7 linked regions of the Nothobranchius furzeri genome follow. The protein of the gene in region 1 purifies or fractionates together with the protein of each later gene. This does not show direct contact. Links are inferred from orthologs where the notes say so. Each region holds a gene or a part of one and is shown on either strand. Other genes may lie near its edges.

The links.
Region 2: the proteins of casein kinase II subunit alpha' (region 1) and cdc5l purify together in Homo sapiens (affinity purification with mass spectrometry; 3 studies listed by BioGRID and IntAct, counting the BioPlex papers as one, with this or other methods). This does not show direct contact. The link is inferred for Nothobranchius furzeri from reciprocal best matches to the Homo sapiens genes CSNK2A2 and CDC5L.
Region 3: the proteins of casein kinase II subunit alpha' (region 1) and prrc2c purify together in Homo sapiens (affinity purification with mass spectrometry; 3 studies listed by BioGRID and IntAct, with this or other methods). This does not show direct contact. The link is inferred for Nothobranchius furzeri from reciprocal best matches to the Homo sapiens genes CSNK2A2 and PRRC2C.
Region 4: the proteins of casein kinase II subunit alpha' (region 1) and ark2n purify together in Homo sapiens (affinity purification with mass spectrometry; 6 studies listed by BioGRID and IntAct, counting the BioPlex papers as one, with this or other methods). This does not show direct contact. The link is inferred for Nothobranchius furzeri from reciprocal best matches to the Homo sapiens genes CSNK2A2 and ARK2N.
Region 5: the proteins of casein kinase II subunit alpha' (region 1) and osbpl8 purify together in Homo sapiens (affinity purification with mass spectrometry; 4 studies listed by BioGRID and IntAct, with this or other methods). This does not show direct contact. The link is inferred for Nothobranchius furzeri from reciprocal best matches to the Homo sapiens genes CSNK2A2 and OSBPL8.
Region 6: the proteins of casein kinase II subunit alpha' (region 1) and gramd1bb purify together in Homo sapiens (affinity purification with mass spectrometry; 3 studies listed by BioGRID and IntAct, with this or other methods). This does not show direct contact. The link is inferred for Nothobranchius furzeri from reciprocal best matches to the Homo sapiens genes CSNK2A2 and GRAMD1B.
Region 7: the proteins of casein kinase II subunit alpha' (region 1) and chd4b purify together in Homo sapiens (affinity purification with mass spectrometry; 4 studies listed by BioGRID and IntAct, with this or other methods). This does not show direct contact. The link is inferred for Nothobranchius furzeri from reciprocal best matches to the Homo sapiens genes CSNK2A2 and CHD4.

What each region holds. Positions count from the first base shown.
Region 1 is NC_091749.1:31,566,769-31,571,024, forward strand, and holds part of casein kinase II subunit alpha', read right to left. Parts: intron 1,454-4,256; coding exon 1,370-1,453; intron 1,111-1,369; coding exon 1,000-1,110; intron 910-999; coding exon 808-909; intron 1-807.
Region 2 is NC_091752.1:40,119,655-40,123,412, forward strand, and holds the end of cdc5l (cell division cycle 5-like protein), read left to right. Parts: intron 1-654; coding exon 655-762; intron 763-853; coding exon 854-943; intron 944-1,021; coding exon 1,022-1,153; intron 1,154-2,008; coding exon 2,009-2,089; intron 2,090-2,504; coding exon 2,505-2,618; 3' UTR 2,619-2,824; downstream 2,825-3,758. Other genes in the region: supt3h (transcription initiation protein SPT3 homolog), read right to left, coding at 2,910-2,951.
Region 3 is NC_091748.1:46,614,864-46,619,119, forward strand, and holds part of prrc2c (protein PRRC2C), read right to left. Parts: coding exon 4,116-4,256; intron 4,026-4,115; coding exon 3,380-4,025; intron 3,304-3,379; coding exon 3,131-3,303; intron 2,934-3,130; coding exon 2,687-2,933; intron 2,602-2,686; coding exon 2,391-2,601; intron 2,297-2,390; coding exon 1-2,296. UniProt on the Homo sapiens protein: Required for efficient formation of stress granules.
Region 4 is NC_091746.1:60,555,909-60,560,840, forward strand, and holds the start of ark2n (protein ARK2N), read left to right. Parts: upstream 1-1,563; 5' UTR 1,564-1,786; intron 1,787-2,331; exon of another isoform or gene 2,332-2,334; 5' UTR 2,335-2,407; coding exon 2,408-3,224; intron 3,225-4,827; coding exon of another isoform or gene 4,828-4,932. UniProt on the Homo sapiens protein: AMPK substrate important for exercise capacity and skeletal muscle function.
Region 5 is NC_091741.1:58,358,657-58,363,459, reverse strand, and holds the start of osbpl8 (oxysterol-binding protein-related protein 8), read right to left. Parts: upstream 3,213-4,803; 5' UTR 2,999-3,212; intron 1-2,998. UniProt on the Homo sapiens protein: Lipid transporter involved in lipid countertransport between the endoplasmic reticulum and the plasma membrane: specifically exchanges phosphatidylserine with phosphatidylinositol 4-phosphate (PI4P), delivering phosphatidylserine to the plasma membrane in exchange for PI4P, which is degraded by the SAC1/SACM1L phosphatase in the endoplasmic reticulum.
Region 6 is NC_091753.1:27,155,687-27,159,942, reverse strand, and holds part of gramd1bb (protein Aster-B), read right to left. Parts: intron 3,738-4,256; coding exon 3,634-3,737; intron 3,532-3,633; coding exon 3,436-3,531; intron 3,214-3,435; coding exon 3,133-3,213; intron 2,982-3,132; coding exon 2,866-2,981; intron 2,491-2,865; coding exon 2,322-2,490; intron 2,194-2,321; coding exon 2,004-2,193; intron 1,926-2,003; coding exon 1,782-1,925; intron 402-1,781; coding exon 283-401; intron 186-282; coding exon 43-185; intron 1-42. UniProt on the Homo sapiens protein: Cholesterol transporter that mediates non-vesicular transport of cholesterol from the plasma membrane (PM) to the endoplasmic reticulum (ER).
Region 7 is NC_091745.1:74,024,577-74,028,832, forward strand, and holds part of chd4b (chromodomain-helicase-DNA-binding protein 4), read right to left. Parts: intron 4,048-4,256; coding exon 3,799-4,047; intron 3,717-3,798; coding exon 3,601-3,716; intron 3,503-3,600; coding exon 3,403-3,502; intron 3,295-3,402; coding exon 3,081-3,294; intron 2,960-3,080; coding exon 2,838-2,959; intron 2,735-2,837; coding exon 2,611-2,734; intron 2,471-2,610; coding exon 2,298-2,470; intron 1,926-2,297; coding exon 1,680-1,925; intron 1,460-1,679; coding exon 1,256-1,459; intron 1,181-1,255; coding exon 969-1,180; intron 739-968; coding exon 607-738; intron 511-606; coding exon 411-510; intron 1-410. UniProt on the Homo sapiens protein: ATP-dependent chromatin-remodeling factor that binds and distorts nucleosomal DNA. Acts as a component of the histone deacetylase NuRD complex which participates in the remodeling of chromatin.

The sequences.
Region 1 (4,256 bases):
GAGTCTCATTTCCTGACATTCTGACATCTCTCATCTGATTGGCTAACAGAAAAAGACCCAACCACTGACTGATTGCTTTGCAACATTGATGCTTTATCTCCACAAATACCTCCAGCTTGAGGGAGTTCTTCTGTGCGGTGGAGTTGCTAATGCTAACAGTTAGTTTCTACTAGTTGATACATTCTCTGCTGTTTCCTAGATGCTAAACCAACAGCAGCCTTCCCCATCGTGAGTCAAGATGGGTGAGTCCATGAATGTTAAGTGACAGTGCGACGTAGATCTGTCAGGCTTTTCCAATCCTAGAGTTTTACTGTCTATTTTCTATCAGAAGAAGCTAATGCAGCAGATAGGTGTAGGAGACTATTTTCATTTTCAACCTACATTTGAACCTCAGAGTGACCGATTATAATCAGAAATAATTAAAATATGATTTGAGTGATCCACAACTTTAAGGACAGGTTGAGTTAACCCAGTTTCTGTTGGATTACTTGCTGTGATGTTAGTTTTAAGACACAAAGCAGGGGGCGCCACTGAGCCACATTACAGTGCAGTACCTTGTGAGTGTTGTTCTACTGCCACCGACAGAGATCATTCACAAAATATCAACAAAAACGTGTTTAATTCATCCACTCATGTGGAGGAAAGAAATGTTCTTCTGGGATTAAAAGCATCTTTTTTTATATTTGTCTGACACAAATAATGAGTCAACATTATAACTTAAATTTTATGTTATTTAGTCAGAGAGTAAAACTCATCTTTATTAATATGTATCTGTCCTCCTTTACACATCATTTGTTCACCTCTTACCTGATCATAGTTGTCTTGGCCGTGGAAAAATGGCTCCTTGAGGAAAATCATGCTGGCCAACATGCAGCCTAAACTCCACATGTCCAAACTATAATCATACATCTAAAACAGAAAAACACAGTTGAACCCTAACATGACATCAGAGTTCACACCGCCTGACTCAGAGTTGTGCTTTTGTCTGAATAAATCTACCTGATAGTCCACGAGCAGCTCGGGGCCTTTGAAATAACGAGAGGCCACCCTGACGTTGTATTCCTGAGCGGGATGGTAAAATTCAGCCAAACCCCAATCTATGAGCCGGAGCTGTGGCAGAACACACACACGTTACTGGGTTCCTCTCATGTTTCCCTCGAGTAAAATCTACAACATCACAAGTTATTAGTGTCATTTTATATCCCATCAAAAACCGGGTGTGTTTGACTTAAACATGAACTATTGATGCAACAGGGCATCAGTGACTCATGTAAAAGTTTGTCAGTGCCAGATTCATTAATGGACACACAGATGCACATGATTGTTTCTGAGGTGTTGTTTTTGGAGTAAATAAACAACTGAGCAGCACCTTCCTCAGCTGGTGGTCGATCATCACGTTGTGGGGCTTCACGTCTCTGTGCATGATGCCCATGCTGTGACAGTAGTCCAGAGCCTTAAACAAAAACAGAGATTTCAACTGTTGAGCAGAGCGAGTTTCTCCTTCCAAAAGGCAGATTATCAGGTTTATAATCTGGCCTGTTTAGCACTGAGAATGGACTTTACTGTTTATGTCACACAGACTATTTATGTTTGGCTAATTTATTCAGAGTCAATCTTCAGTATTTGTCTCTTTAAGTATTAATGTTTTAAAAACAGGAATGGATGATTATGTTATGAAAATGTTCTTCCTTTTCTTTACAGGTAACACTTCTACAAAGAAGGTACATTGTTCTCTGACTGTGTGGCTGTCTCATCACGCCAACATGGGACTGGTTGGCCATCTTAAACATTCTTTTTTCTAGGGTTTTGATTTTTTTATTTGCTGAATATAGATTGCTGGTGGATGGCGTTCCTCTCAAACGTCCTGTTAACAGCTCAAGTCACCAAGGCTTTACAAGCAGTTTGTGAAAATCCTTTTCATTACATTCCAGGGTTGTGTTGGCAGAAATATTTCTGCTGAGCCCACTCAGGAAGTCATATACAACAAATAAAAGTCAGAACTTTTACATACAACACATTTCAAACTGGCCAAAATACTTCTTCAAGGTTTTCTTGATGTCCGAGTTTCTCAGAAATAAGCTGGTGTGGGTGCTTTCACTTTTCTTCCAGGTAACCACTCGTGTAGAAATTGTGACCCCAATAACCAGAAAAATGGGACAGCGGCATTTTCTCTGTGTACATCCACCCTGAGATGATCAGCCTGAAATACAGCTCTACCGGTAAATTTAGCCACGGAGAAACAAAATAAAAAATGAGCTGTGTGTTCAGTAGCAAAGCACACGCTCAACCCTCTAAGAAGTCCTACTTCCAGTTCCTCTTGTTTCACCTAAATAGACCTGGAAACAGGTTTTTGCACAAGCACATATTCATCACATCCACTAGACTCACCAACAACACCTGTGTTTTACAGCCAAAAAACTGAGATTTAACAAACATCTTTCTCTAAAACAGCACCAAAGCTTCTCTGTTTAACGACAAATAACATTAAAGACTCAGCAAACTGTAAAGCCTAATTTCTACCTCTCCGTCAGCTCCGTGAGGGAGAGACGCACACGCACTGACAAACGTTTTGGTCACAGACTTCTCCGTCAGCTGGGGATTGTTGCAAAACAATTCCCCGCCAGGACAACAGAGGGCGTAGCACTATTCTGAGGTATCCTGCCACCATTACAGTCTCGAATCTGGTCCATGATTGTGTATTTACTTTTGTTAACATTGATTTAAAGGGGACAATGAATGCAGTTGATCAGCAATCTAAAACACTGCTTTGAATCGAAGAAGCATAAGAAATTTTCTTTTGGCTTTCATCTGTCCCAGGAGCCCTGATACAGGCCATTCTAAAGCTTGGTTTATGCTTGACACATTCACTTTCCGCGCGGTGATGCGGCTCGCGGATGGAACGTGCTTCACAACTCGCAGTGTTTATGGTTCATGCGGCTCGTCTCTGCGGTGAGCCAATATTCTCCCAAACTGTAGGGGGCAGCATGGAGCTCTACGGCATGCATCCAGCACTACACCATAGTAGAAGTAAAAATGACTGTTTACAACATGGCATTCCAGCTTTTAACAGCGTCCTCGTCTTTTCCGACAGTGCGAGCTATTTCTCTCCAAGAATTATTAACAACATGCTGATCACGGTGATCTTTGAGAGCTGAATCATACAAATGTCTGTATTTATGAACCTCTGCCATACTAGTTCTTGCCAGTCCGCCATGTTTTTCCGCATCCGACCGTCCGCGTGGTTAGAAAATTTCCTAGGTGCGCGGTGCGGAAAATTTGGGCCGTGCGGAGGCGCGGTGGAGGGGCGTGGTTGTTAAAATGACGCAATTTTGCCGCGCGGAGCCGTGCGAACCTCGCAGACAAGCATAATCCAAGCTAAACCCCTCTAAATCAACCTTATTGTGACAAGAGCTGTTCACCCCTCCCACTTGGCCAGGACATGAATATGCTAATGAGCTGCTTGCTAATTGGTTGGTTTAAACCAGAAGGCCCCAGACACAGGAAACTGAAGATTGGAGGAGGAAGGGCTTTACATTAAGACGTTTTTATGAGGTTTCTCAGAAAATAAGTTTCTCTGGCATTTTAAAACTTTCTAATTTACTTAAAAAGTAGGTCACACACGGCTTTGACTTTTTGGCATGGTACCTTTGACCCCCTGAGCCTTATTGTTGCTTATTATTAAAATGGGAGGATCAGCTGAAACGGGATCTTCGTAGGGCACGAATTACAGAGGCTTCCGGGGGAGTCCAATGAGAGGGGGGTTTATTTTGCCTTGGCCCCCAAAATGCCTTGATACGGCCCTGGGAGTGGGACTGCGTTTTGAAAGTGATCTGAATTGTATAAAATATATAAATATTACATGCTTATAAATGATTGCTTTATAAAAGTAAACTTGTTTTTTTAATTGTTTTTTATTTGAATATTTTCCTGTCCTGTCCGTCTCATCTTCCTGCATCTCCTCTCAATCCTGCAGAAAAACTGTTTCCTGGCTTTCTACTTTTTCACCTCAGGGATTACTTTTGAACTAAGCACATCAAAGGCATCTACTGACCGCAAAACAGCGGAGTGCACGCAAGGCTGCACCAGTGAGGTGAAGTCACTGGACTAAGGGGTGATGAGTTCTGACAATTCCTGACTAAAAGTAAGTACCAGAAAGAATTTGAGCAGACATGAATGATTGTGTGTCATTTTATATTTTTGGAGAATGTTACTGGGGCCATGCCCAGGACACAGCTGCCTGCAGCACATCAATGATC
Region 2 (3,758 bases), on another chromosome or scaffold:
CTGGTTGTGCTGCAAGTCTTTTTCTTGAAAACATGTTTTTGTCTGAATGAAGGTGATGTTATTGTTCACAGAATAAAAATTCATGCTAAAGTTTAGATGTTTTTAGATCCTGTCAGAATCGGGAATCGATAGGAACCGGATTCAAAACCGCTCGGATTCAAGCGGTGTCCAATCCTAGTCATGTTGGACAGTAAACAGTGAAAGACAGAAATAATGGCAAAACTTTAGATATTGGAGCAATTTGTGATGGATTGTTACTTCTCTGTAGTTTAGTGAGTTTCGTTATGTGTACAGGATGATGAGAAGGATGGATGTCCAGCAGGAAAAGCAGACTGAGACCAAAGCAAGGGTTTTGAAAACGATACTTCCTCTTTGAGGAAGATGAGCTGGGTCGTGAGACTAAGAAGTAACAGTGGCGCTTTTTTCAGCTTTGTTTTGGTTAGCTGTCTGCTTTTAGCGACGTGTGTCCTGCTTGGAGCAAGATGTTGTCCCATCTGGATCACTGAAATCTTGTACTGCACAGTGTGCCACCTCTCTGGAGTTCTTAGTGTGACATGAGCGATCCTGAGCGACGGCTGAAAAACAGCGTGGTCCGGCTTTAAACAGAGTTGTACCTCCTGTTTGGTTGTAATTATTCTATCATCTGTTGAACAGGCAACGGCCATCCTGGCAGCGGAAATGGACGTGGTGAAAGCAGGAATGGGTCATGGTGATCTCAGCTTGGAGGCCTACACTCAGGTGTGGGAGGAGTGCTATGGGCAGGTGAGCATCCTCACAGTGAACAAAAGGAGATGAACAAATGAAACCAATCTGGGGTTACTGCCATCAAGCTGAAGATGCTGTTGTTGTGCAGGTGTTGTACCTACCTGGTCAGAGCAGGTACACCAGAGCCAACCTGGCTTCAAAGAAAGATCGAATTGAAAGTCTGGAGAAAAAACTAGAGGTGAAAAAGTTAAAATGTAATTATTAAAAAGCTGAGTGAGTCCCAGCCCTTTGACCCCGGCTCCGTTGCCCTTTGCAGGTGAACCGTGGTCACATGACAGCTGAAGCTCGGCGAGCGGCTAAACTAGAGAAGAAACTGAAGATCCTGCTGGGAGGTTTTCAGTCCAGAGCCCTGGGCCTCCTGAAGCAGCACAATGAGCTTTACGAACAGGTAATGAGCAGATTTGTGTCAGCATGGAAGGAAGATGCTCCTTTAGAGTCAATAGTACACATCTGAGGGTAAATGGATCGCCATGTTTATCATTTAATGCCAAACAAAATTATCTTAATGTGTACAAACCAGAGTTCCATGTTTCTGCTCTTAAAGAGCAAGTCACCCCCTACCAGAGTCAAACTCCACTCCCATTTCCTGTTTGAAAAATGCGACACAAGGAGGCATTGCTGGTGAACCAAGAGGGCGAAGCCACACACACGTCTGTCTTTCTATCATAGTGAGGACCCTCCATTGACTTCCATTCATTTTTGTGATTTCACTATGCCTAACCCATACCCCAACCCTAACCATAACCAATGCTAATCTATTCTTAACCTTAACTAAAACTTAATTCACACCAAACCTCTAACTGGTATAGTAAGCTTCTAAAAAAAAAAGTGAGAACCAATTAAATGTCCTCACTTTGTAGGTAAAATGGTCCTCAGTATGTAGTATGTACAAGAACACACACACACACCGTGACATCATAATGTACCAGCTTACATCATAGGGTACCTCTTAGTGCATAGGGACAACGGATTTAAATTCAAATGCTGTGCAGAGTTTTTACCTGAAGAGGGACACTGACGGTTTTAGGCAGAATATTTAAATTTGAACTAAGATGCACTAAAGTGCCAAATTACTGACTACACATGTCTACAGCACCATTAGACGCTCGTAGTTTATCAGCAAAAACAGTTGTTGTTGTAAAAGTAAACTAACAGCTGGTTTAGCTTTTAAATACAGGTTCACTGTTAGTTTCGACTGTAAATTTATTCTATTTTGACATGTTGTGCTTGTTTTGTCCACCAGGTGGAGCAGGCAGCCACGGAGCTCCAGACCTTCAGTCAACTGAAAAAACAAGAGGACCTCGCCATTCCCAGGAGACAGGAGGTGACCCTCACACACACGCACACACACACACCTGCTCATTCCGAGCGTTAGGCTGGATTTACGTTCACAATCTTATTTAAGTAAGATTTTAACTTTCTCAGTTTTCAAATGACTCAAATATAAAATGATAAAAGCCATTAATATGTATTCCAGCCATGCTCTGGTCATGTTCCAAGGCCTTTATATATAAATAGAAAAAAAGGCTCCAGTTTTATTTTCATTGCTGTTATGATCTGATTGGCTCAGTGACGAGGTTGCCATTTTTTGATAAACTATGTAATTATTTAAAAACAAACAACTGATCAGAACTGTTTGCCCAGAAACATATTTTCTAGAAGGAAATCCTTTTACTTGGTGACAAACCAAAGTTTTACCACCAAGTAAAGCTTTTTGTTTGACCTTCTGGTGTTTTTAGGCTTTGCGGGAAGATGTGGAGAGGCAGATGGAGAGAGAGCGAGAACTCCAGCAGCGATACGGAGAGCTCCTGATGGAGAGGGAGTCGCTGCTCAACAGTACGCAGAAATTCTGAGTAACGCATCGATAGATTCATTAATTCATGACTCAAAACAATGCTTCCTCTTAAACCTGCTGTAACCATCTGACTGTATCCCAGTGGAAATCCTTGCCTCTGTGTGCTAATTTTGCCGTGATGTGTCAGCAGCTGAGATTTGAGCGTGTTCAGTAGTCCTTGCTTCTGTACTAGTGACCAATAAAGTTTTTCAACAATAAAACCAACAGCAATGGTGTGAACTCAACTGAAAAGTTTTATTACATAAAAAATAAAATTATTTACATTTGAAAAAAGATGTGGGCTGATGCATCAGCAGGTGAGGAAAGCCATCCCGCTCCTCCTGTAGGTAATCTGGGGAGAATGAGACCACACCTTAGGCAAACACCAGGAGGTAAGATGGAAACATGCTGCAGGTCACAGCCATACGGTGGGGTGTGAAATATTGGGCAGCCTTTTTGATCTCCGTGATTTTCCTTTATAAATCGTTGGTTATGATAAAAAATATAGGAGATGCACTAAGATCTGAGAAGTAAAAAAGTTTATAGGGTTTACAGAAAGTGAAATAATTGTTTAAACAAAATTAGGCCGGTGCATAAATCTGGTCACTGTTGTCATTTTATTGATCCCAAAACCTTTAGAACAAATTATTGGAACTCGAAATTGGTTTGGGAAGCTCAGTGACCTTTGACCTCCACACACAGGTGAATCAAATTATGAGAGAGTTTTATGGGGCAAGTTGTAAGTTTCCCTCCTCTTTGAATATTCTCTGAAGAGTAGCTACACGGTGGTCTCAAACAACAGAGTCAACCCACCGTGCAGCACCCAAGACACTGACCATCGTTCAACTATTCGGTGCACTTTACACAAGGAGATGCTGCATGTGAGAGTGATGCAGAGGAAGCCTTTTCTCCAACCACAGCACAAACAGAGCTTGAGGTTTGCTAAAGCACATTTGGACAAGCCCACTTAATTTAGAATAAGGTGCTGTGGACTGATGAAACTTAAGTTGAGTTATTTGGGCATAACAAGGGGCGTTATGCATGGAGGAAAAATAACCCATCTTTCGAAGACAAACACCGTCTACCTACAGTAAAACATGGTGGTGGTTCATCATGCTGTGGGCTGTGTGGCCAGTGCAGGGACTGGGAATCTTGTTAA
Region 3 (4,256 bases), on another chromosome or scaffold:
TGAAAAACTCCTCTTGGCTGCTTGAGAAGCCTCTCGTTTTGGAGTCACTCCTCCATCAGGTGGACTTTTATTGGGAGATGAAGAACCGTGTGGAGGTGCAGGCACCGACGCTGGGGTGACCTCAGTTGCAGCCTCCAGCGCTCCTTTTCTCTCCTCTCGTTCTCTCCTTTCATTGAAATCACTGCTTTCCGAAGCAGTTTCCCATTCCTCATTGGCCTGATCTGAAGAGTTCTGGTTGGACAAGTCAGGGGATTTGGTACCCACTGCAGTAATGGAGGGACTACTGGCCTCTGGCAAGGACACTTCTAAGGGAGAAGATTGGCCAGGTGCAGGTACAGCAGCTGTCACTTCTGCAGGCACAGTTAAGGGAGTTCCTGGAGCTCTAGACGTGGGTGGAGAAAGGGCGGATTGGGCAGGAGCTAAACTAGGGCCAGCTGCAGCAGGCACAGAAGCTAAAGAAACTGGGGGACTTGAAGCTGTGTCACCACCAAACCCCCCAGCCTCACGTTCTTTCAAACGTCTAAAGCGGGGGGGTTTATCTTGCCTTGGGGGCCGTGTTGGTCGGGATCGACGAGGCCGTTCTCTGCTACTCTGAGGCCCGCCATCTCCAAACTTTTTACCCTCTAATTTTGGAGGTCGTCGGTCGGTGGAAGGATTGTCGTATCTCGCTGAAATATCTGCATCCTCAGGCCTGAATGTCTCCATGGGTTTAGAGGGCCACTGCGAGGAGGAATCTCTGGCCGCTGGCCTTCTATGAGGAGCCGAGCGAGGTCCTCCACGGTCTCTTGGTCCACCTCTTCTACTGTACAATCCTCCTCGTCCTCGGCGAGAAGGCTCTCCTTTAGGAAGAAATCCTGGCTTGGGCCGGCCTTCTTCATCCACTCTTGACCCCAACTTTTCTACCCCGTGAGGCGGCTCACAGCCCAGCTTATGGTGGGAACGGCCCTCACCGGGGAGATCTCTTCTTAGTGGACGGCTAGGTTTGGTGCTAGGCTCACGATCAGAGGGTCCAGTATCACTGGCAGACTCTCTCCCACCTTCACTTTCAGAGTCTGTGTCGGAACCACGGCGCCGCCTGCGTTTAGGAATGACTTCAAAGTCTGAGCTCTCGCTGCGTGTCTCACTTTCTTCTCGGTTGCGAAAGGCAGCAGCTCCTCCAGCAGAGGGTAAGTCAGAGCGTAATCGAGGCTCCCGATAAGGGTACTCTGCTCTGCTACGACCACGACATCCCCTGCTGCGCCCACTATAGGTTCCTCTGTAGCTACGCCCTCGTGAGTAGTACTCCCCTCGACCGCGTCCTTTGAAATTTGAATCAGGAGGCCATTCTCTCTCCCTGTCCTTGTCTGTTTCCTTGTCACGTTCCCTCTCTCGATCTTCTCGTCTGACACGTGGAGGAGGAAAATTGGAGTCTTTTCGAGACGGCAGTTTTGTTTCTGGATGTTTGTCGTTACAGGGCAGCTTGTCTACTTTCTCCTCCTGAGAGGAAGAGGTGGGCACTCCTGAAGAAGGCTGAGAGTCTCTCGCTCTGGGGTGGGAAATGGAGGATTCCTCCGTCTCAGCATTTTCCCTCTTGCCCTCACCCTGAGGTCTGGTGCTTTCAGACACCACTGCAGCTGCAGAGGGAGCTTTAGACGACTGATCCCTTTTGGACCGGTCCCCCTTTTCTCCTCTCTCATGACGTTTTTCTCTCTCCTCTCGTTGCTCCCTCTCCTCTTTCATGTCCCTTAGAACAGGCTTCTTTATTGGTCCTGATCTGCGAACTGGTCTTTCTCCCCCTAGCCCTTCTCTGCGTCCAGCCCCAGATCTTCCACCCCAGCGAAGTTCAGCTTTCTGCTTGCTGGGGCCTGGCAGAGGCAGTTTCTCTGGCTTGTGTAATCCATCTGCAGGTGGTGTAGCCCTGTTAAGGGCTACAGCAGCTTGGGAGTAGACTTCATTCTGGTGCTTGTCTGAAACCCGTTCTCCTGTGTCGTGTTGATCTAGTGATTTTGTTGCCGGGGGTATCCCATCAAACCTTAGCTCATCTAGCTTAAGAGAGTGGCTGGAACCCTGCGAGACACTTCTTTGAAGAATGGCTTGACCAATTGCCTCTACCTCCTCCCCACCTGGTAAACCTCTCTCAACTGTGTCAAAGGTAGAACTTACAGGGACCCTTTCTGAAACATCCTCAGGGCCCTGAGTAAACACCGACAGGGATTCTGGATCCCGGAAAAAGTTACTTTTACGAGAGTCAGCTGTACTGGGATCCTGAGCATAAATAGCTGGAAGACCCCTGTCCAGATCCAACCCAGAGTCGATCCTAAGAAAGCAAGAGAATAAATAAACAATTATATAAATAAAACGAATGAAGAATACTTGATTTTTAATTTATTTATTTATTTGCAATACTTTACCTTTGTTCCTGGTGGTCATCTCGCCCTTTTGGAGGAGTTACAGTGCGTAACGGTTCAGACTGTGGGTATGGATCTGATCCCCAAACCATTCGTGAGTCTGAGGGCAGGCCGTGGTCTCGAACCGGTCGGGACAAGTGATCGAACGAGTCAGAGCTGGAGCTGGAGTTGTCACCTGCCTCTCTGCGTACAATCTGCTTTGGAGGCATTCTCCCTGATAAGGTGAAACCACAGAAGATGTAAACATGTCAGGGAGCCTTTATTACATAAACCACAGCCCAACTCATCCATATCCTCACCGGGGTGCATGCTAGCTGGCATGTCCATAGGAGGTCGGCCCGACATCATGCGAGGATCCATGTAGGACTGCATCATGAGCCAGCGAGGGTCAAACCCCATGGAGGCCAAGTGCTGGTGGTGGGGGCCCATTGGTTGGTACATGGAGCGGTGCTGCTGCTGTTGGGAAGCTGGAACACTGCCAGCACCTGATGGGGACACAGATCCCCCGCTTTGCTGTTGTTGCCATTGCTGCTGCTTCATCTGCTCCTGTGGAATCAAAGTAACATTTAACTTAACTGGCGTCTTCACCATTTATATAACTGATTAAAATGTTCCTCTTCTCTGACAGTTACAGGCATATCTCAGCTCCGTCAGTAACCATATCCTGGATAATTCACGTTATAATCAAACCAGTCATGTTTAGGTCTTATCAAAGCCACAAGGCCATATTTGGACCAACGTACCTGTTGTCTGAGGAAACGTGGTGGCAACGACTTTTGAAACTGTTTGGAATAGCCTGACATAAGAGAGGGACGAATGGCAGCAGTGGCCTCTCCTTCTAGTTGTGGGGGCGCAATAGGGACTTCTTCTCCTCCTGGAGTGTCCATGTGTGACAGAGACAGATGGGGCTCATCCACTGTAGAAAAACAGTACCGTTAAGACAAAGTTGGTCAATTTGATCCAGAGTAAAACTCCATCAAGCGTTGGCTCACCTCTGTTGTCCTCCAAGTTAAAATAGTCATGGATAGGTACAGATGCTGTCCTATCCACCTGGTTCTCCTCCACAAGAGCACCGACCTCCACTAAGGTGAGTTCTCCTTGGCTTTGTGGTTCTGGAGCTGTTGCTACGGGTCTTTGGGTTGGGGAGCTGGGCTGATGAAGTAACTGAGCCTCATTCTCAGCACTTGGTTCTACTCCCTCATGTTCTTGCTCTGCCCTTTCTTTGTCTGGACCCCCCCTCTCTGATACAGGGTCTTGGATGACTGGGACCTGTGATTGTGGAACTGGTACTGAAGGGACAGGACTGGATGCAGGAACTGGTGCAGATGGGGCGTCCTCCCCTGCAGCTCCTGCGTCGTCATTAGTGGTTTGAGCATTGGCGGTTTTACTCTCATTTGCTTGTTTGTGTTTTTCATTTAGACGTTTAAGTTTTTCTGCACAAGCAGCGAGCCTCTGCTCCTCCATTCGCCGTTCCTCCTCTTCCCTCCTTCGTCTTGCTCGCTCTACAGCTTCAGAAACTTCAGATGTCTTTTTCCGCTTCTGTCGCCAGGCTTCCGAGTCTTCATCAGCAGCAGGTGCCACAGTAGCCTGTGGTTTGTCTCCACGTGGAGCAGTACTCCCAGCAGCACGGCTGACACTCTGCAAACAGGAATAACAACAGATTAGGTTACATGATACTAAAACATTGAAGAGCTAATGGCTAGCTTGTGTATTATAAACATGCTTCACCTGGTAGTCCTGTGTTGCAGCAGTTTTACTGTACTGCCCCAAACTGCCAGGTGATGGTGCTCTGGGATCAACGCCATCAGCCCAAGAGGATTTACTGCCCACAGGCTCCTCAGATCCATCTTTCCAGCCCTCTTGGTTATC
Region 4 (4,932 bases), on another chromosome or scaffold:
TCATGCACCAATAACTGAAATGAATAATTTTACAATCAAATCAATTATTTTGATTGATTTTAATGTGTTGTTTAATTATCAGATTAAACAAGAGATTGACAACCCAAATGAGGCGAGAGGAAGGAATGCATTGAGTTACTGAAGGCGATGCTGAACTGGGATGCAAATGAGAAGATCATGCCGAGCGCGATCCTCGCCCATCCCTTCATCACCGTGGACTACAGCAGATTCAGCAGCTCTTCCTTGGAGTCTTATCAGCATGCTTGATCCAGAACCCTGCACCAGCAGGGCTCTAAGTCTTCATGAAAGTAAAGCATTTGCTCCAAGAATGTGCTGGAAGCCAAGTCAAGTGATTCAAATACCTGTGAACACATCAACCCTTTCCTTAATGTCAAACCAGCTGCAACTGTGGAAGACCTAAACATGGAAAACGGTTTGTCTTGTTCCAGCAAAATACTCAGAGAGCCAAAGGAGGAGACCTTTTTGAAGCAATTATTTTGCTGTTGCATGCTGAAGTCAAATGCTGGAGAGAGTGTTATGGCGAATGATCAAGAAACAAAAAATCAGCAAAATTGACACCTAGGAGATCGTTCTCCAGGGTGTGGCCCCTAAAACTGTACTGAGAAGCTGCTCAGTTCTCTATCTTGATCCAATATGAAGAGTAAATAAATGTTTTGTTCAAGCATTACTCATATAGTGAAACAGTGCCTTTAATTTTTTTCATGCAATTACAATTTTTTGGTAATTTTGCAAAAACCTCTAACACAGCCATGCCTTTTTGAAAGAGCTAAACATACTCAACAATATATTTCATAACCTGGTAAGTAAGGCTTTGATAGACAATTAATTCCTTTTCAATGATGTTTGCCTTTAAAATGCATGTGTAACAGGTCCGGGTAAAAGAAGAATCTCTAACATATTTTGCAGACTATGCCACAGTGGCTTGTTAAAGAGGATTCAAATAACTGTTTCAATGCTAAATGGGGTTTGACAGAGTCCAACACAGATTTAATATCTAGGACATACATTTCTCAGCATCTAAGTGGAGATGAAAAAGTGGTCTATTTTAAAACAAACAGCAGTATGCTGTATTGGCAGAGCAACAAATGGATTCTATGTGACTCACAAATAGCATAAATTCCGAGATATTGTTCGCATATTTTCAAAATACATTTTAGCTCACAGAGCTTCAAAATACAGACAACAGATGCAATCTGAGTGTTTATTGGCATCATTTTGTTGTAGATATAGTTATAATAATTATTATTGTTTTCTAATGCTTCTAATAGACATTTTGATTATTTTAGAGCTTTTATTATGGAAAATCATCAAATTCATTATATCATAAACTATTAAACCAACATTTTTAATGGCCTTTACGTTATTGTTAAGCCATGGGACACTGTGCTAAGACTTGTTCTAGAATCAAACTGTATATTTTATTTTTGCTATAATCCATAAATTCACCAGTTTTTAGGAATCATTTAAAACTGTAGTACCAAAATACGACTCAAGAGGGCGCTCTATTGTGACAAAGAGACAGGAAGTAGTACGTTTAGCTTTGTGAGCGACATTTTAAATAAACCCGAAGCTAACTGCTAATTGTTACAGAGCTTGCGAACCTGCGAGCAGCTTACGTCAAAAACACGCAGGATTTTATTTAAACTGTAAATAGTTAGTGATTTGAGCGGTGTGCTGGTCATACAACTCGTCGAAGACAGTCTGAAGATTACCGAAGATGTCCAGATGTCCGACATTGTGATAAGAATAAAATACTGACGCTGTGGTGAGTTAACAGCAGCTGAGTGCTGCTTGAGCTACCTCTGCATTAGCTGTTAGCCGCTAACTTGAGCCTGCCTAATAGAACTGTGGTTGGGTAGATACTGCTTCCATTTAAAGGATTTTGCAATGCAGCTTCTCTGCAAGCCACATTTCTTCCTCACGACTTGCGTTATTTTGGCAAAATTTGCGAAGGTTATGATTCATGACCGAAATAAGCTTCACTACGCAGCTCAAGCCGGATTTCTGTTTAGCCGTGGACACAACTTATTAGTATTTCCTTTTGTTATTAATAAACGTGACTCACTGTCTGGATGCGTGTTGGATTATTGCGTGATTTATTTGATATTATAGTATGGGACGAAAACTTTAGTTTTTTATTAAGCAGTAAATCCATTTTTAGAAAATTTGGCTAAAGTGAGACGTTTGATATTTAAAATGACGTCAAACCCTCTATTTAAATTAAATTGCATGTGTTATGTTAACAGAAATCTGGCAAGTTTTAAAATAACTGACTGTTGGCTAGAGTTAGTAACTTGTTTTTCTCTTTAGCAGGTGAGTTCTTGTCCAGGCACATTGGTCCAAATTGGCTGGACCTTTGGGCTCTGGGCTTCATCAGCTGGAGAAAATGGCTGATTTAGTGAAGGCAGAGGAGTTTTTGGATGCTGAATGCCCTCCAGAGTGCCTTGATGAAGCACAATCAGCTATAGTTTCTGTTCAAGGAGAACAGGATGAGAACCTGAAAACGGAAACCACCACCAGTACTAGTTCACCCCCAAGGGAAAAGGAGGCTGACAGCCCTTTAAATACCGAAGGGGAGCAAAGTCTCCTCTCTATGCCATGCCTCATGAAGGAGCTCCACCGAGACTCCCCCGAGTCCCAGCATGCATCTACAGGGAGTGACAAGCCAGCGTCACGCAACATTTATGAGAGTGACTCCTCAAATCCTTGCATGCTCTCTCCCTCATCTAGTGGACACTTGGCTGACTCAGACACGCTTTCTTCAGGGGAAGAAGGGGCAGCTCCCCCTGTAGGAGAACACGAGGGTGGAATGGAAACTGTAAACGATCCTGGGCAAATGGCAAAAAGACAAGCATCTGCCACTGCTTCTGGGGGGAGGAAGTCTCGGCGGTCGCATTCGGAGAGCGAGATGCCTCCGATTGCAATGGCTGCAAAGAAGAACCGCTGTCAGCCAACGGCAATAGCGACTGGGCAGGAGAAACAAACCAATGGCAAGTTGACGAAAGTTAAAGGTCCCCGGAGCCAGAAACACAAAGAGCGTATGCGCCTGCTGAGGCAGAAACGAGAGGCGGCAGCACGGAAGAAGTATAACTTGCTGCAGGACAGCAGTACCAGTGACAGTGAGCTGACGTGTGACTCCAGCACCAGCTCCTCAGATGATGATACTTCAGGAGGCAGCAAGACAATCAAGACAGATATTCCAGGTAACCTCCCATTACCTTATCACACCCTTCTAGCGCAGTACTTTACATAGAAAACAATAGCATTACTTTATAATATTGCTTGTATAATTGCTTGTATAATTTAGAAGTTCAAACATAAACCTAAAGTTAAACTTGATAAAAGAATGTGTGCTTTCTGATAAGGACAAGGCTTTATTTGTGCTCCTTTTGACAACCACCTTTTCTTTTTCCTGTTAATTTCTCATTCATCGATAGCCATTCTCATCGTCTTTAAATGTAGAAATGTTGTTCCGAGTTGTCCTGTCACTCGTCACTTTACATCTTTTGTGGTGTCTCATAGTTTGCATGCTGTGGAATTCTAGTTGTCATTGTTCAACCCATGGATCAATAATCATTTTTTACTTAGTGATTGTTTTTTTTTTTTTTTTTTTTTTTTTTTTGTCCAGTGAGTCATGGATCTGTCCAATCTCTGCTCTAAACTGATAGAAGCAGGCCACGTTGGTCCAGAATATAAGACATACATGTCAATTTTTTTTAACTCATTGGAGAATTAAAGAATAAATATTAACATCACCCAAATTACTGCTTGGAGTTTAGTATATCCTGTTATTTATCAAATATTCTAGCAGAAGTCCTGGGTTGGTTTTATAATGAACTCTTCCCATACATGGCCTTTTATTTATTCCTGTAGTTTTCTATATATTCAGCAGCATTTTCATGTGTCTAATGGCCTAATGATGCACATCTGGGAGTGGATGTGGTGATAAAAACATTCAACCCTGGTAAACACCAGGAGGCAAACTCATTTAACTGTCTGGATGGGTTTGTTGTTTGTTTGCATCGTTTGTTTTTCTCAAGTCTCCTGAGTGAGTTCAGGTGTCACGTTTTACTCAGCTCAGGTTTTTTTTTTTTTTTTTTTTTTTTTTTGCTGTTTAAAGAAATGTTTTTATTTACTTTAATCTGGCCTTTTCAGCTTAATTTTTTACCTCAAGATTTCAGTTTTATCCAACTGAAGTACCAGTTGCATTTGATTTAGTATAAACGGTTTGTTTTGGTTTATTTAAAATTCTGTTGATTCGTTTTACATGTAGTCGCTGTAGGGGTAAAGCCTAGTATCTCAATTTTTAAACATTTTCACGTATTTACATTTAGATCTATTGGTCACATTTCACATAAATCAGTGAAAAGTGGACACTAAAGAGAGATGTTGTGACATTTGACCACAGAGTCGGTTCTTTGTAAAACTGAAGACTTTTTCCCCCAACGATGACAAAACTGTATTAGATGTATGTTGTAGTTCAGGTTATCTCAGTCCATATTATATGTGTGTACTCGAAAGACTCACCAGTTAACATGTTTTCCAGACCATAGTTGCTGACTCAGAACATCCAGTTTTCTTCCTTTATGACTCTTTTAGTACATAAAATGTTTTCAGCCATTTTTTACATCCTGGCCACAGTTTTGAGTGCTACAACCGCATGATGTAGTTCATCAGCATGAAAGAATCTTTCTGCACGTAACCAAAAATAAAAACATTCATTTTCTATTTAATACACACGTCCACCTCCAAAGCATGACCGTGCCACTGTATTTTCTTATGGCTTTGGCCTCAATGTCTTTAAAGCTGGCTTCAGACGCGGATCGGAGAGTTCCAGAGTGGGAGCCCAGATTCATGGGCTGCTGGACACCAGCTCGTGGGACAGGAACGGCATCGGCAACGTTCTGGAGG
Region 5 (4,803 bases), on another chromosome or scaffold:
TGTAAACTGGTACATTATGATGTCACAATGATGTCGTGAGCCTGAGTGTGTGCGTATTTGTTAGTGGCTCCGCCCTCTCGGTCTGCCAGGCAACAGCATTTGTTCCATTTTTCAAACATGAAGTGGGAGTGGAGTTAGACTCTGGTAGGGGTTGACTTGCTGTTTAACTTGGACCAAGCATTTTAGGTCACAGATAGGTGTAGCTTAGGGTCTCTGTCTATACACCTTATAAGACAATTTAGGTGATGGCATGTTGTTTTTCTGCTATTGATCTGTTTTCTAATAATGTTGTGTTTAATAAAGTGAAGGAAGGAGAGAAATAACGTTTCCCTAGCAGTTTTTAAAAATTTCCCCATGTAATCAGATTAATCGATTAATCGTGTCGAGACCTCATCCGATTCATTGATTATCCAAATAATCGTTTGTTGCAGCCCTACTTTAAAGAATCCAAAAAAACAAATGCCATACTATTGTTTTCATCTATGTTGGTAAAAACATCCCACATACTCCCAAAGTAGAATCTGTAACCAAATCTGAAGCTGGGTGTACCTTTGGTAGCACACAGCCACTCACTGTGGGTCACACAACCTGAACGGAAACTCTATTTAACTTGCAAATAAGCTGCTGGTTGTTCCAGTGATGCCCTCGCTCCCCTCTACAGACGTTTTCATGGATATTCTGAGCTTAACCTCCTTTACATGTACAGGGGGCATATGGAAATATGGAAATGTACATGACTCAGAAAGCTCACTTTAGAAACAAATACACAGAGTAAGCTTCTTTTAACTTTAGTCATTTGATCTTATGTGGAAACTGTTGATGTCAGAATCTTCGAATGTGTTCATCTTCATGCTGAAATGCATGGCTTATATTCTAGAGTTTATAAGGAGGACTGTTGGCTGGCAGTGCCTACCACGATAGCGGAATGACCTGCCAAGCACTACCAGAAAAGAGGCGTCCTTGTTTATCTGCAAGTAACTATTAGACCCACCTCTTCAGAGAGCATCTCCTACCCTAGTAGAACGTACACCCTAATCTGCTGTGTTGTCTTTGTGTCTGACTGAAGTCAAACCAAACCGGCCTACTCCTACTCCACCTAAGGTACCATGATAATGCGGATAGAAAACCAAAGTTCTCTGCAAGTAAAAGACATCACAGCTCAGCTGAGCTCTCATTGGCCTGGGCACTATCAGTGTTTACCTGCACATCATAAAATTAACAATTACCCTAAATAGATCAGCATTTCTTATTTTTAAATGCATGTAAACACATTATTCTTGTTGAAGGAGAAATGGTCATCATGCTTAAGTGCCCAGATAATACAGTAGGAGCCCAACTTCATCTCCATGTAAACGACTCAATCAAGCTGATACAGGTAACTTCCGTAAGTGGCAAGTCCACGGTCTTCTGATGATATAATCACCACAAAGTAATACATATAACACCATCAAACAGTATAGTATGTACTAAATAAGCTGCACTTCACTCCATTCCTTCAGCCATTGTTAAAATAGAGTCTCATTTTCAAACATTCTGCTGACATTCATTGGTAAATAGTCTCTTTAAATGTGAACTCCGGATATTCTACGATTGTCCAAAATGTGGTCCACGGACCATCTGCGACATTCGGCGTAATTTTGAGCAGCCCCTGCTTGAACTCCTAAAGTGTGGGAATTTTCACTCCAGAAGGCTGTTGATACAAAATGACACCTTTACCTAATTTTTATGTTCACTAATTTTTGTGACTAGCAAAGACTTTTAGTTTGATGATATCAGTCTGCACCTTGACAAGTGTGAACACATCCAATGCTTTCAACACAAAGCCTGTTGGTAATTAACGCATATATTTTTAAAGGCATTCATTCAAACTACGCAACCTACATGAAGACATAAATTGGAAGGTTGCAGGTTCGAGCCCCGCTCAGTCTGTCGCTGTCGTTGTGTCCTTGGGTAAGACACTTAACCCACGTTGCCTGCTGGTGGTGGTCGGAGGGACCGTTGGCGCCAGTGCTCGGCAGCCTCGCCTCTGTCAGCGCGCCCCAGGGCAGCTGTGGCTACATCGTAGCTCATCCCCACCAGTGTGTGAATGGGTGAATGACTGATTGTATTGTAAAGCGCCTTGAGGGGTTCCATGACTCTAGAAGGCGCTATATCAAATACAGGCCATTTACCATTTACCATAAAACAAATACAATACAAACAAATACAAATAAGGTAAATAAAGATCACGTCCTGCAGAGTGAGGCTTTCTTCATGTGTCAGGAACTTGATGCTTACATTTTATTGGGCCACACCTCAGTGTTCAAATCAAAGAGCTTCCCAACCCAATATGTAACTGCGTTAAATAATCAAGACTTTAATGCTCAACAAAATAACTTTGATCATATATTTCCATAACCAATTCGCTCCAGAATAATCACAGCTTTGAAAACAACTGTGATTGATCAACATGCTGTCTGAGCAGAAAGAATGAAACATTTTAGAAATCACAGGCCACTTGTGTGGCAGACTGGTATCTGATATCGGACCGGCTGCAACCAGAGTTGCCCGACACAAACAGAAGCTTCGCCAGGTGAAAGTGGTAACAGAGCACTACTAGAACCAGAACCAGATCAGATGACTGCGATGATGCAGGAAAATGTAAGTCCAAATGCCCTGAAACACAATCTGCTACTCAAACAACTACGAGTAAAACAAGCCACCTGTACGTCACACCTTACTGAACGGTTGACTTTCTTTCGCTAATTAACGTTTATTTGGTCGTTTTCTGCTAAAAACAGACGCAGAAGTGAAGATGAAGCCTCTGACGATGAGCAAGCAGCAACAAGTTCACACCAGTCCCGCTAATCCTGACTTATTACATAATAAGACGCATGATTGCTCGACTGCAGCGTCACAGTCGCCCCGCCAGGAGACACATCGAGAATAATCGCGTTTTATCAGAAGATGGGGGGGGGGGTAAAAACAGCAGAGCTCGGGGATCATGTGCTCGACTCACCTCTGCTGAGTTGGCGGGGTCTCTTGGCTACCTCTGGCTCGCAGACTAGTTGTAAATATTAATGCAGGTTGAGTCTGTCTGCTAATTGTTAGCAGGCGGTGATTAATGCTTGTAACGTTAGTTTGCTCTCTCAATGGGACGCCTAATTCCACGATTGGTTCTCGGTCCAGCCAAGTCACGTGGATCCAATATTTATATCGGGGAAGGTAAAAACAGGTTCTGGTGCGTTCGCTAAACTCCATTTACCGCCATATCCAGTCTATTTGTTAGCCATCAGTGCGTCTGCACTGTTCTACCAAGGGCTTCAGTGGGTAAACATGACAACATCCGAGACGAACGTCATTTCCGGGTTGAAACTTCAACATAAAAGCAAAGTAAGCGTTGCATCTTGCTATCAGTCAAGTGGAAAATTACTGGGTTAAATTTATGTAAGTTTCAGGGGTTATATATTATTTATTACAGAGACCCTACCAGCTCTCCACAGTTCTAACACGAAAACACAAATGATTTTATATTTGAAAACAATTAAATTCAAATCAGCAAAGCTCCTTGTCAGTGGTTATTTTGCAATTCATTTGTAAACTGAAGAAAATGTACCAGTGATAATAATGAGAATAACGATTTTACTGTACAATATTATTTTTGCACCTACCTGTAGGGATTTATTTTGAAGGGTGAAGGCTGACCTTGTTCCACTTCCTGCTCGGGTGGACTTAATCATGTGATCTTGGGAGGTACTTTCACTTAACGAATATCAAAGAAAATAAATGGAATTATGTAATAATCTTCAACAGATGAAAATTAGCTCTCAAATTTATTTCTTTTATTTGTATATTCTTCCATATTTGTAATCATATATATGTATTTAAGCAATGCATATACAAATAAAGTTGTTGAAGCCTTATTACGCGTAGTATTTTAATTTGTGGATGAATGAAATAATTATATGATAACTAAGGCGTGATCATTTTTATTATGTGAGTTCATTATGGTTTTCTAGTTTAGTTTAAAAGATGTACGAATCAGACGCTCTTTATAACAGTTATTAAATGGCCCCCTCTTGTGGCTGCTGGATGATGGTCCTCGTTTACGTTTCAGAACATTGGGTTTAAAAGTTAAATTATATTGTTTTGTGATTTCGTACATACACATTTGTTTAGTTTGATTACTGTTTAAATTGTTTGCTTTTAATCGTTATTTGTTTTATATTTTCTGTGTTTTTAGTTTCTTCACAAACTCTTGAATTTCCACACTGAAATAAAACAATAAAATGTTTTTACTCATTTGAGTCACTAAGCATTAGATATAGAAATAAAAGTGTAAAATATTAAAAAATATTACTTTATTTAAAACTCAATATTAGTTCAATTGTGTCATCCACAGTTTCTGTTAATGTGTTGCAGGTCTGAAATGTATAGGCTTGGATTTAGTAGTAAGAAAGTAGTACGTGAATTTTATTTATATAGCACTTGTCACAGACATAGAATCACAAAGTGCTTCACTTAGATTAAAACAAAATAAAACAAGGTCATAAAATCATAATGATCTCAAAATCATAAGTGGATTAACATCAGAAAGAAGATGAGATTACAAATTTAAGTTAAAAATAAGAAAATAAAACATTTAGGTAAAAGCAGCTTTAAATAAAAGGGTCTTTAGCTGTTTTTTTTAAGACTGTCAATGCTACATAAGGAAAAAGGAAGAGCATTCCAAAGTCAAGATGCAACAGTCTGGAAGGAGCATCACTTCAAATTTTATATCTGGTCTTTGGAACATCTAGAAGGTTCTGGTGGGTGGACCTGAGG
Region 6 (4,256 bases), on another chromosome or scaffold:
AAAGTAAAGAAGTTAAGCAGAGAAAAAAAAGAATAAGCTTACCGTAACCGACACTTGTTCTTGGCCACCCGTGTGAGCATGTAGCGGTTGAGAGTGTAGAAGTAATCGTGGTAGGGCACATCGTGCGTAATGACCTCAGCGTCAATGATGTAACACTCACTTTCCTGACTCGCTTTGTAAAGAGTCTAGGAAGAAAAGCAAACTGTGTTTTAGTTTGCAGCCATTTAGATGAGTGGGAGTAGGATAAAGCAGTAACAGAGGCCTCTGGTTGGCTCATTTCACCTGCGTCTCAGTGACTGTGGCTGTTTTAGGTGCTAGGGGGTTGGACAGAGAGATGGTGTACAAGATCACTCTGGTTTGGTTTCCTGCTTCCTCTTTCTTCCACGGGTGGTACACGACATCTGGATGAAAAATAATGAAATGGAAAATAACTTCTTTACCTCCCTGGAAGCCAAATTTCAATTAGTGCAATACTAAAGAGTTTTTAACACCAATATATTGCTTTAAAATGGTTTCAGTGGTTCTTGAGACAGAGACTTGTGTAAATTCACATTGGACAGCACTCTGTAGCCCTCTGCAGACCAGAAACTGCACTTAACAATTTTGTGATTCAGGTAGGAATACTTGTGGGAGGTCTCTCCGTGCTGTACCACAATAGCTGTTACCTGTGCCAGCTAGCAGTTAGCGTTTTTAGTTTGCCGACAATTAATAAAAAGCACAAGAAGAAGAATAGGTTTGTTGTTAGCATCATGTCAGAGTAAGGAAGTAAAAGGAAGAGAGAATGTTTTGGAGATGAAGCGAAGAGCTAAAACCAGAGTGAACATCCGCAAGGCCTAAACGCATTTGAGGCTGCTGAAGGAGGCTACAAAAATCACAGATTGATAGTGACCTGGCTTTGTTGCTAGTAGACTTATGATATTTGTTTGTCCAGCAGTGTGGATTATTTGACTTTGTAGCTTATTTAGTACCAGTTGGCTTGTGCTAGTGTTAGCCTGTTGTTATAGATAGCTACAGCAGGGTTGTTTAAGACAGTTGTGATTCTATACTCCATATACTCTGTATATGAAGGGCCAAAGCCGCCTCCACCTCCTGAGGAGGCTGAGGTCCTACGGAGTTAATTCCCAGCTGTTAAAATCCTTTTATCACTCTGTGGTTGGCTCTGTTATCCACTCTGCTGTGGTCTGCTAGGGTGCAGGCAGCTCTGACCGAGACAGGAAGAAACCAAATGAGCTAATTCACAAAGCTAGCTCGGGTCTGGGCTGCTCATTGGATACAGTTGAGGAGACGTGTGAAAGGATGTTGGGGAAGATGAGCTTCATCATGGAAGACCCCTCCCACCCACTGCATTCCACTGTGGAGACCATAGAATCCTCCTTCAGAGGCAGACTGACACATCCCAGATGTAAAACAGAACACTACCGTAGGTCATCCATCCTCTCTGCAGTAAGCACGTAGAACTCCTCAGTTTAACTGGTACTGGCATTATCCTGGTGCACAATAACATCAATGCAGTACTCGGTATGTGTTCAATACTTGCGCAATACTGGATGTACATAGTATGCCTGTGTCCCTTATACTGCATAGTTCTGAAAACGCAAAATTTATTGTTATTCGCCGTGTTTAGTGGTCGAAGGTTACAATAATAGCTTACTGCCCTTGTGTGTTAACCTGTAATCTTATTATTTTTCTTCTTAATTTTCTCTAAGTGTATGTGCTGCTGTAATGAGTGGATTTCCCCTCTATTCTATACTTTAACTGTGAGAAATGTTGGAAGCACTGACCTGAGAAGCGCCTCTGCTCCATGAACTCACTCATGAACTGAGACTCTGTGAAGAGGATGTCGTAGAGTTTGTCCACGCTGAACTTGTACACCTCATTGATATGCTGCCTGCCGTTCAGGTCCTCGTGAAAGGCCTGGACCTCGCCTGAGGAATCCCGGAAAGGATGACACACATGATAACATCTGAAAAAAGAAGTTATTTCAGTCTAGCTGGGGTACGTACCCTCATCATGGGTTTCTGAGGAGTCACTGAGCTCGGTTGGGATGTCCTCGTTGTCGTTAAAGTCCAGTGATGGCGAGGGAACAGGACCACCAGGCCTGCTTGATTCACTCTGCTCCTCCACCACTAGAGGCACTGTCAGTAGCTCGCCGTCCGGTAGACAGTCTGCAAATTCCTCTGCTGGGAGTTCAAACTGGAAAAAAAAAACACACAGGCATGGGTGATCCACAACAGGATGCAGTAACTCTTGTTAGAGACATTTCCTGATGTTATTATGAGCTTGAGAAGTACTTGAAGTGTGTACTTGTGTTTATACGTTACCGTGATGGTTGTGTCATGGTTGCTGGGGCTTGGGATGGAGCTGTTTGGGACAACTTTCTTTTGCAGCAGAGGAGAACTTCCCCCCTCAGGCTTAGTTTGCTCTGTGCTGGTTTTTGTCAAGTTGTCATTGTTTATCTCATTCTCTTCGTTGGGAATCTCTTCGCTGAACCTGGGGTCACCAGAGGACAGTAATTCAGTTTTCTTCATTCCTTTTCAAGCAAACGTAGAGGAGCAGCTTCTTCTAATATCACCAGCATGTCAAAAGGTGATTGCGGACTTCTTGCACATCCAATAATGACCCAAATTACTGCTTTATGTGTGTGTGATGCAGAAAAGAGAACCTTGTAAATCTGCAGAACTTGGCCCTGTTCTCGTTTTTCCTTTGACTTTTTATCAGTGACCTGATTACAAATGTTTATTCTAAAATGGGTTAGGTGTGATGTGTTACGATAAATGAGGTGCACCACTCCGCACCACACTGGTCTTACTATTCAGAGCTGGACTCAGTTGCATCAATTGTGTGGACAGATCCAAGCAAACTTACCCCATGGTGTTGAAGTCGTCATCAGGGGGAACATAGTCCTCATCGTCACTGGTCAGGCCAAGCTCGTTGCCATAACACTGATGCACAAAGTGCCACAGTTCTTTTGGACACAGGGGCTGCAAAAAAAAATGAAGACAGCAACAGACAAAGAAAGATTTCAGAAAAACACAAGAAGTATGCAGGAAGGAGTATCAGCGGTTCCCGGTGCTCACTAAACAGACACGTGTACAGTCTCTGCTACAGACACATGCTGGATGCTTTCCTCACCTTTTCGAGCAGAGCATTCTGCCACAATCTGAACATCATCATGTAGGTCCTGTCTCTGGCTCCAAATGAGGTAAAGAAGTGCTGAGAGAAAAGGTAACACACACCTGTTACTATTACTGCTTATTGAAACCATGCTCTTATTTTGAAGAGAATGGTTCTAATAGTGATCACTGCTGGATCCATTCTTTAAACACATATGTGAATCAGGAGCATGCCCCCTCTGCTGGTGACAAAGCCTGAACTACAGCCAGCCCTCATGCAGCCGTGGAGGTGAATCCAGGTCAAATATTCTGGGATCGTTACCTTCTCAGAGTCGGTGCAGACCTGGATGGCATTGGGAATGAGGCGCGCAGTCTTCTCTTTCGTCATTGAGCAGATGTCCTTTAGTCGCACCGTCAGCTGAATGCACACAAAAGCACATGATCACACACACTCGCACACACAAACACCCAATCCTGCAAGTAAAACGTCTACAGAAAAGCAGGAAGTGAAAGGCCGTACAAGTGTTTCCCAACGGAAGATGTTGCTATAGAAACAGATCCAGTTCTCTGAGAGGTAGAGTCGTCCCTGCAGAAGGATGTCCCGCTGAAGAGCACAGGAGTAGTCTGCAATCAAACAAAACACAAAAAAACTCCTTTAGGTATTTACTGCTGCAAGAAAAGTTGATGATGTAGAGAAAAAATGGATGCCAGAGTATGGCTGTGTGATGCTGGTCCTAAAGGGACCTATTTAAATTGTCCCAGATAACACCGAGCATAGCTCCAGTTAGACAGTGTGCTCTAAGTCATATCTTTAGCATCAAAACTAGGATCCTGCTGAACACAATAAAGAAAGCTGCAGATGTGTTCATTTGTAGATATCAGCTGATGCATTTAATTTTTTATAAACTGCTGATGATGTTCACAATGAAAACAAATAATTTGGCTGCTGAAGCTTCTGCAGCCTGTGTGTGTGTGTGTGTGTGTGTGTGTGTGAACAAGGAGCAGGAGGATGAAGGCAGAGCTTGGAGGGGACACTAAAAGCAGAGAAAGTGAGCAAGCGTAAGTCTCATTTTAAGCTAACCTTTCTACATAAAAACATCCGAAGACGAGAGATGTGAGCTTATAAAAGACTTTGTGGGTTTA
Region 7 (4,256 bases), on another chromosome or scaffold:
GTTTGGATATTCCCAGTACATCCTGGAACATTACACAAGAGCTCCGACGTTCTCTTTAATTCCATTCGTCCAGCGCGGATGTTAGCAGAAACTCAGGTAAGCGTTAGCATTAGCTCGAGCTAGCGTTGTTCTGCGGTTAGCATTACCACGACCAACATTTACAGGTTTTTGGAGTTGAAGTTAGATGGGACTTGCAAACGTAAGCTTATGATGTGTTAAACCAGCTTTTCTCTGAATGAACAGTTCCTCTGTGGCCATTAAAACGTCACTAAGTTACATGAGTAAGCAAGACGGCAAAGACGTTTTGGTATGCTACATTAGACACCCCAAGCTGCCTATAAACGACAAGGTAAATGTTGTTTTAAATTCTAGGACACCTTTACTTTCTACATCCAAATAAAAACACTCACATCTACAACTGGGTTAGCAGGTGGCCGCTCTGCCTTTTTCACTTTGACGGTCTTCTTAAGCTTCTTACCAGGTTTCCCCTCCTCCCCCGTCATCAGCTCTCTAATAAAGAAAATTAACAGCATAAATAAATAAATAAATAAATGAGAAACAGAATTCCCACATAATATAAATAAATCCCAAAATGTTCAGAATCACCTGTGATTCCAGTAGATCTGCTTGTATGTGTCATACTCAGGAATGTCCATGTCTTCACTCTCCCAGGTGGACTGGTCATATGCCAGATCTCTCCACTTTATTAGATAATGCACATTGTTCTTCTTATCAACACTAAAATTAGATGCAGAAAACATACAAACAAGGCAGGGTTTGATTAAAAACTAGCTCTTTGTGGTTTTTTAAAGCTTTAAATTTGATCATTTTGAGTCAGAAACTTTAGAGTCAGAGCAGAAATAAATCTGAATACCTCATTCAATCAATGTGGAATAATTTAACATCCAGTATGTTTCTCCTGACTCATTTTACTACTTTTACCATCATATGTCAAACATGTATCCCACCTGTGGTTAAGGATGCGGTGGATCATCAGCCACTCCAGCTTGACTCCAAACCGGCAAAACTCCTCCTCCATGTGGACAAAGAGGGGATCTTTGTTCTTCCTCTTGGTGCTTTTGTCATCATCGCCCTCACCTCCAAAGTCTACAGGAGGAGGATCGTCCATGTCGGTCTTCCTCTGGTAGTTACGAAACATCACCTGGCAGTTCAGCTCCAACTGGGGAAGAGTGGCAGTAGGTAGTAAATTTGTTGGAAGAAGCAGATTCATGTCCCAGTGAGGAGATCTTAGTACCTGTAGCTCCTGCACCCAGGAGCAGTGCCAGTAGGACATATTGCACCATTTGACAAAGAACTCCCTCTCCCTGCGGCCCACCAAAGGAGGAGGATCAGGAGCATCAGCAGGAAGGTCAGGAGGCCGAGGGACAGGCATGGGGGCTGGTGGATCCCCCCAGCGCCACAATAAAACCTTCTGCACTTTTCCCTTCATCGGTGGACACTGTTGAAACGGAGCGATGGCTCATAAATGTTACCCGACATTTACTGCACATGGTGAAATTGAGAAAATACAAACTGCATGAGAGCCATCATTTATTTGAAATATTAAGAAACAACAAATTCTGGAGAATTACGAGGGAAAAGGGCTCCACATCTGCAGAACGTGTGTTTGGCAGTCTAGAAGCAAACCCATGTGAGCATGCGCAGATCACAGCGCTCACCTTGCAGCGGGGGCAGATCCACTCCCCGTTGGGGATCTCAGGGAGAGGAGGATTAAGGCAGTGGATGTGGTAGGAGGAGGGGCAGGTGTCACAACACAGCAACTCTCCACCGTCCTTGCACACGCGGCAAAACTCGATGTGATGGTCGTCTTCCTCCTCCAACCCTTCATCTCTCCTGTCGTCATCGTCCTCCCCTTCGGCCTCGGACAGATCATCCCTGGCCTCCCACTGGATCCCCTCCTTCTCCTGGAGCCAGAATCACAGGCGAAGGAAGAAGATGGTACGTGTGTGTGTGATGGGGGAGGGGGGGGGGGGGGGCGGCAGGCAGGAAAAGTATGTGGAACAGAATAAAAAAAGGGGAGGGTGGGTGGGGGGGTGTGTTTGAGAGAGGAGTCAGAGAGAGGGAGAGTGACAAGAGGAATTTCATGGTGAGATGTGTGAAGGAGAATAAAATATTAAAAAAACATGAGCAGAGAGGTTTTGTGGGGCAGAGAACAAAGAGAAATTAATACAAAACAATGATTAAAATTAAAGTCTTTCCAGACCACAACATCCTAAGACGACTGCATTTTTCCCTCTTGCTGCTCCAGGATTCCGGTGGTTATTAAGGACACTCACACAGTGTGGGCAACTCCACTTGCCCTCAGGTGCTTTCTCCATGTCTGGGTCCAGACAGACCATGTGATAGGCTCGAGGGCAGGTGTCACACAAAATGATCTCCCCGCCCTGCTGGCACACCTCACAGTAGTCCTGATGGTCCGTCTCATACCCGTCACCATCTTCTGTTTCCACTGACAGAGGGGTTTACAGAGAGAGCGTCAACGACAGAAGTTGTGAAATACGTCTACTGCCTTCTGTTCTTGAAGCTAATTTGAAAGTTCACACAGCTGATCTGTTTTTGTTTAGATTTTGGGGATAATTTAAAGCCGACCTTTCTTCTTTTTCTTGGCACTCTTAGATTTCTTCTTAGAACGGCTGCTGCGGTTGGAGCCATCAGAAACAGAGAAACTCCCGTCATCGAAGTCACTGTCGACATCAGGTTCATCTTCATCGCTCTGATCAGGAAAGATGAAAATTAAAAATCGGCTTCTACTTGAAGTTTTATTTTCTCTGCTGGAGAGACAGTATACAGAAAAAAAAAATTAATAAACATCTTACAGATGAGCGCTTCCTCTTGCTGTTGAGGCCTCCCAGTTTGATTTTGAGTGGAGCCACCTTCTTGGGTTTCTGTTTAGCAGGAGGTTTAGACGCAGGCTTTGACCTCTTGCGAGCATTTGGGCCTAGAACACAAATAAAAAAACAAAATTCAATATATACTCAATTTTGTTTGAAAACTGCATTTTTAAATAATCAAAACTGAAACGTAAAATCCCATTTTTTATTACGTTCATCCAGCTTTACCTTTTCCCTCTTTGGTCTTGGCTTTGCGGAGCGGAGGTGCTGGAGCAGCAGGAGGTGCAGCTGGTGTTGGAGCAGGAGCTGCAGCGGCGGCAGGAACTGGAGCAGGAGCAGCAGGAGGAATCTCTGCACCTCCATCGGTCCCTGCAACCACCATGTTCTCCACAGCTGCAGCCACATTGGCAGCTGCCAAGGCTGCATTAGCAGTGGCGCAACCCTGAAAGGACAGGAGCAGAGTGAGAAGCTATGCACTCTGTGGACAAAAACGAACAAAAAGCATAAAACAAATGTATTTGTTTGAATGGGGGGGGGGGGGGGGGGACACCTTGAGTGGGTTATTTGTGCTGAATTCCCTCCATTTAGCCATCATTAAAGTCATCATTTTGGACACAGGAATTTTGGGGTTCTTTGCAGCAATTAAAGGCCTAAAACACACATAAGACCAGGTTTATTGTGGCTTTGTATATTTTTTTTATTTGGATATATTTAGCCATTTATGATCCTAAAAAGTGAGTTTCCTCACCTGACAAACTGACTGAATGCCTTGTAGTTCGTGAGGGAGCTGTAGTCTTCCTGAGAAAAGACGTGGTCAATGTCTTTCATGCCCCAGGCCTCCAGCAGCTGCGTGGAGCTTTTAGGCTGGGGGTTGGCAGTGGGCGGAGAAAAGTTAGTCCCCCGTAACAAAGTGAAACATACATTTAAAAAAAAACTGAAACTTTACCTGGCAATCGTCGTCATCATCGTCGTCATCATCCGGTTCTGGATCTTTACGTTTGCTCTTTGAGCCTCCTTTCTCTCCTCCCCCTCCTCCTTTCTTCTTGTCTTTGGCAGAGCTGGAGCGTTTTTTCTTTTTTCTACCAGGTGCATAATCACTTCCTTCACTCTCTGACCGCATACCTCCCTCATTTACATCCCTCTCTGCTGCCTCCAATCCAATCAGGTGCTCTGGGGAGCTGACTGGCAATTCCTGCTAGATAAAGAAACACTTTGCTAATTACACAAAGACATGGCTCCTTACAAGACTTTAGAAATGAGAAATTATGAAGAGCTATTGTTTTTGTCTCTTGTACAAATTGTTCCTCTATTAGGTTGAATAAGGAAAAAAGAATCGACTGTGCGCTTTCATCCCTGGAGCACTCCAAGCATAAATCCTTCTGATTTTCAGGTGAAGTTAAAGTA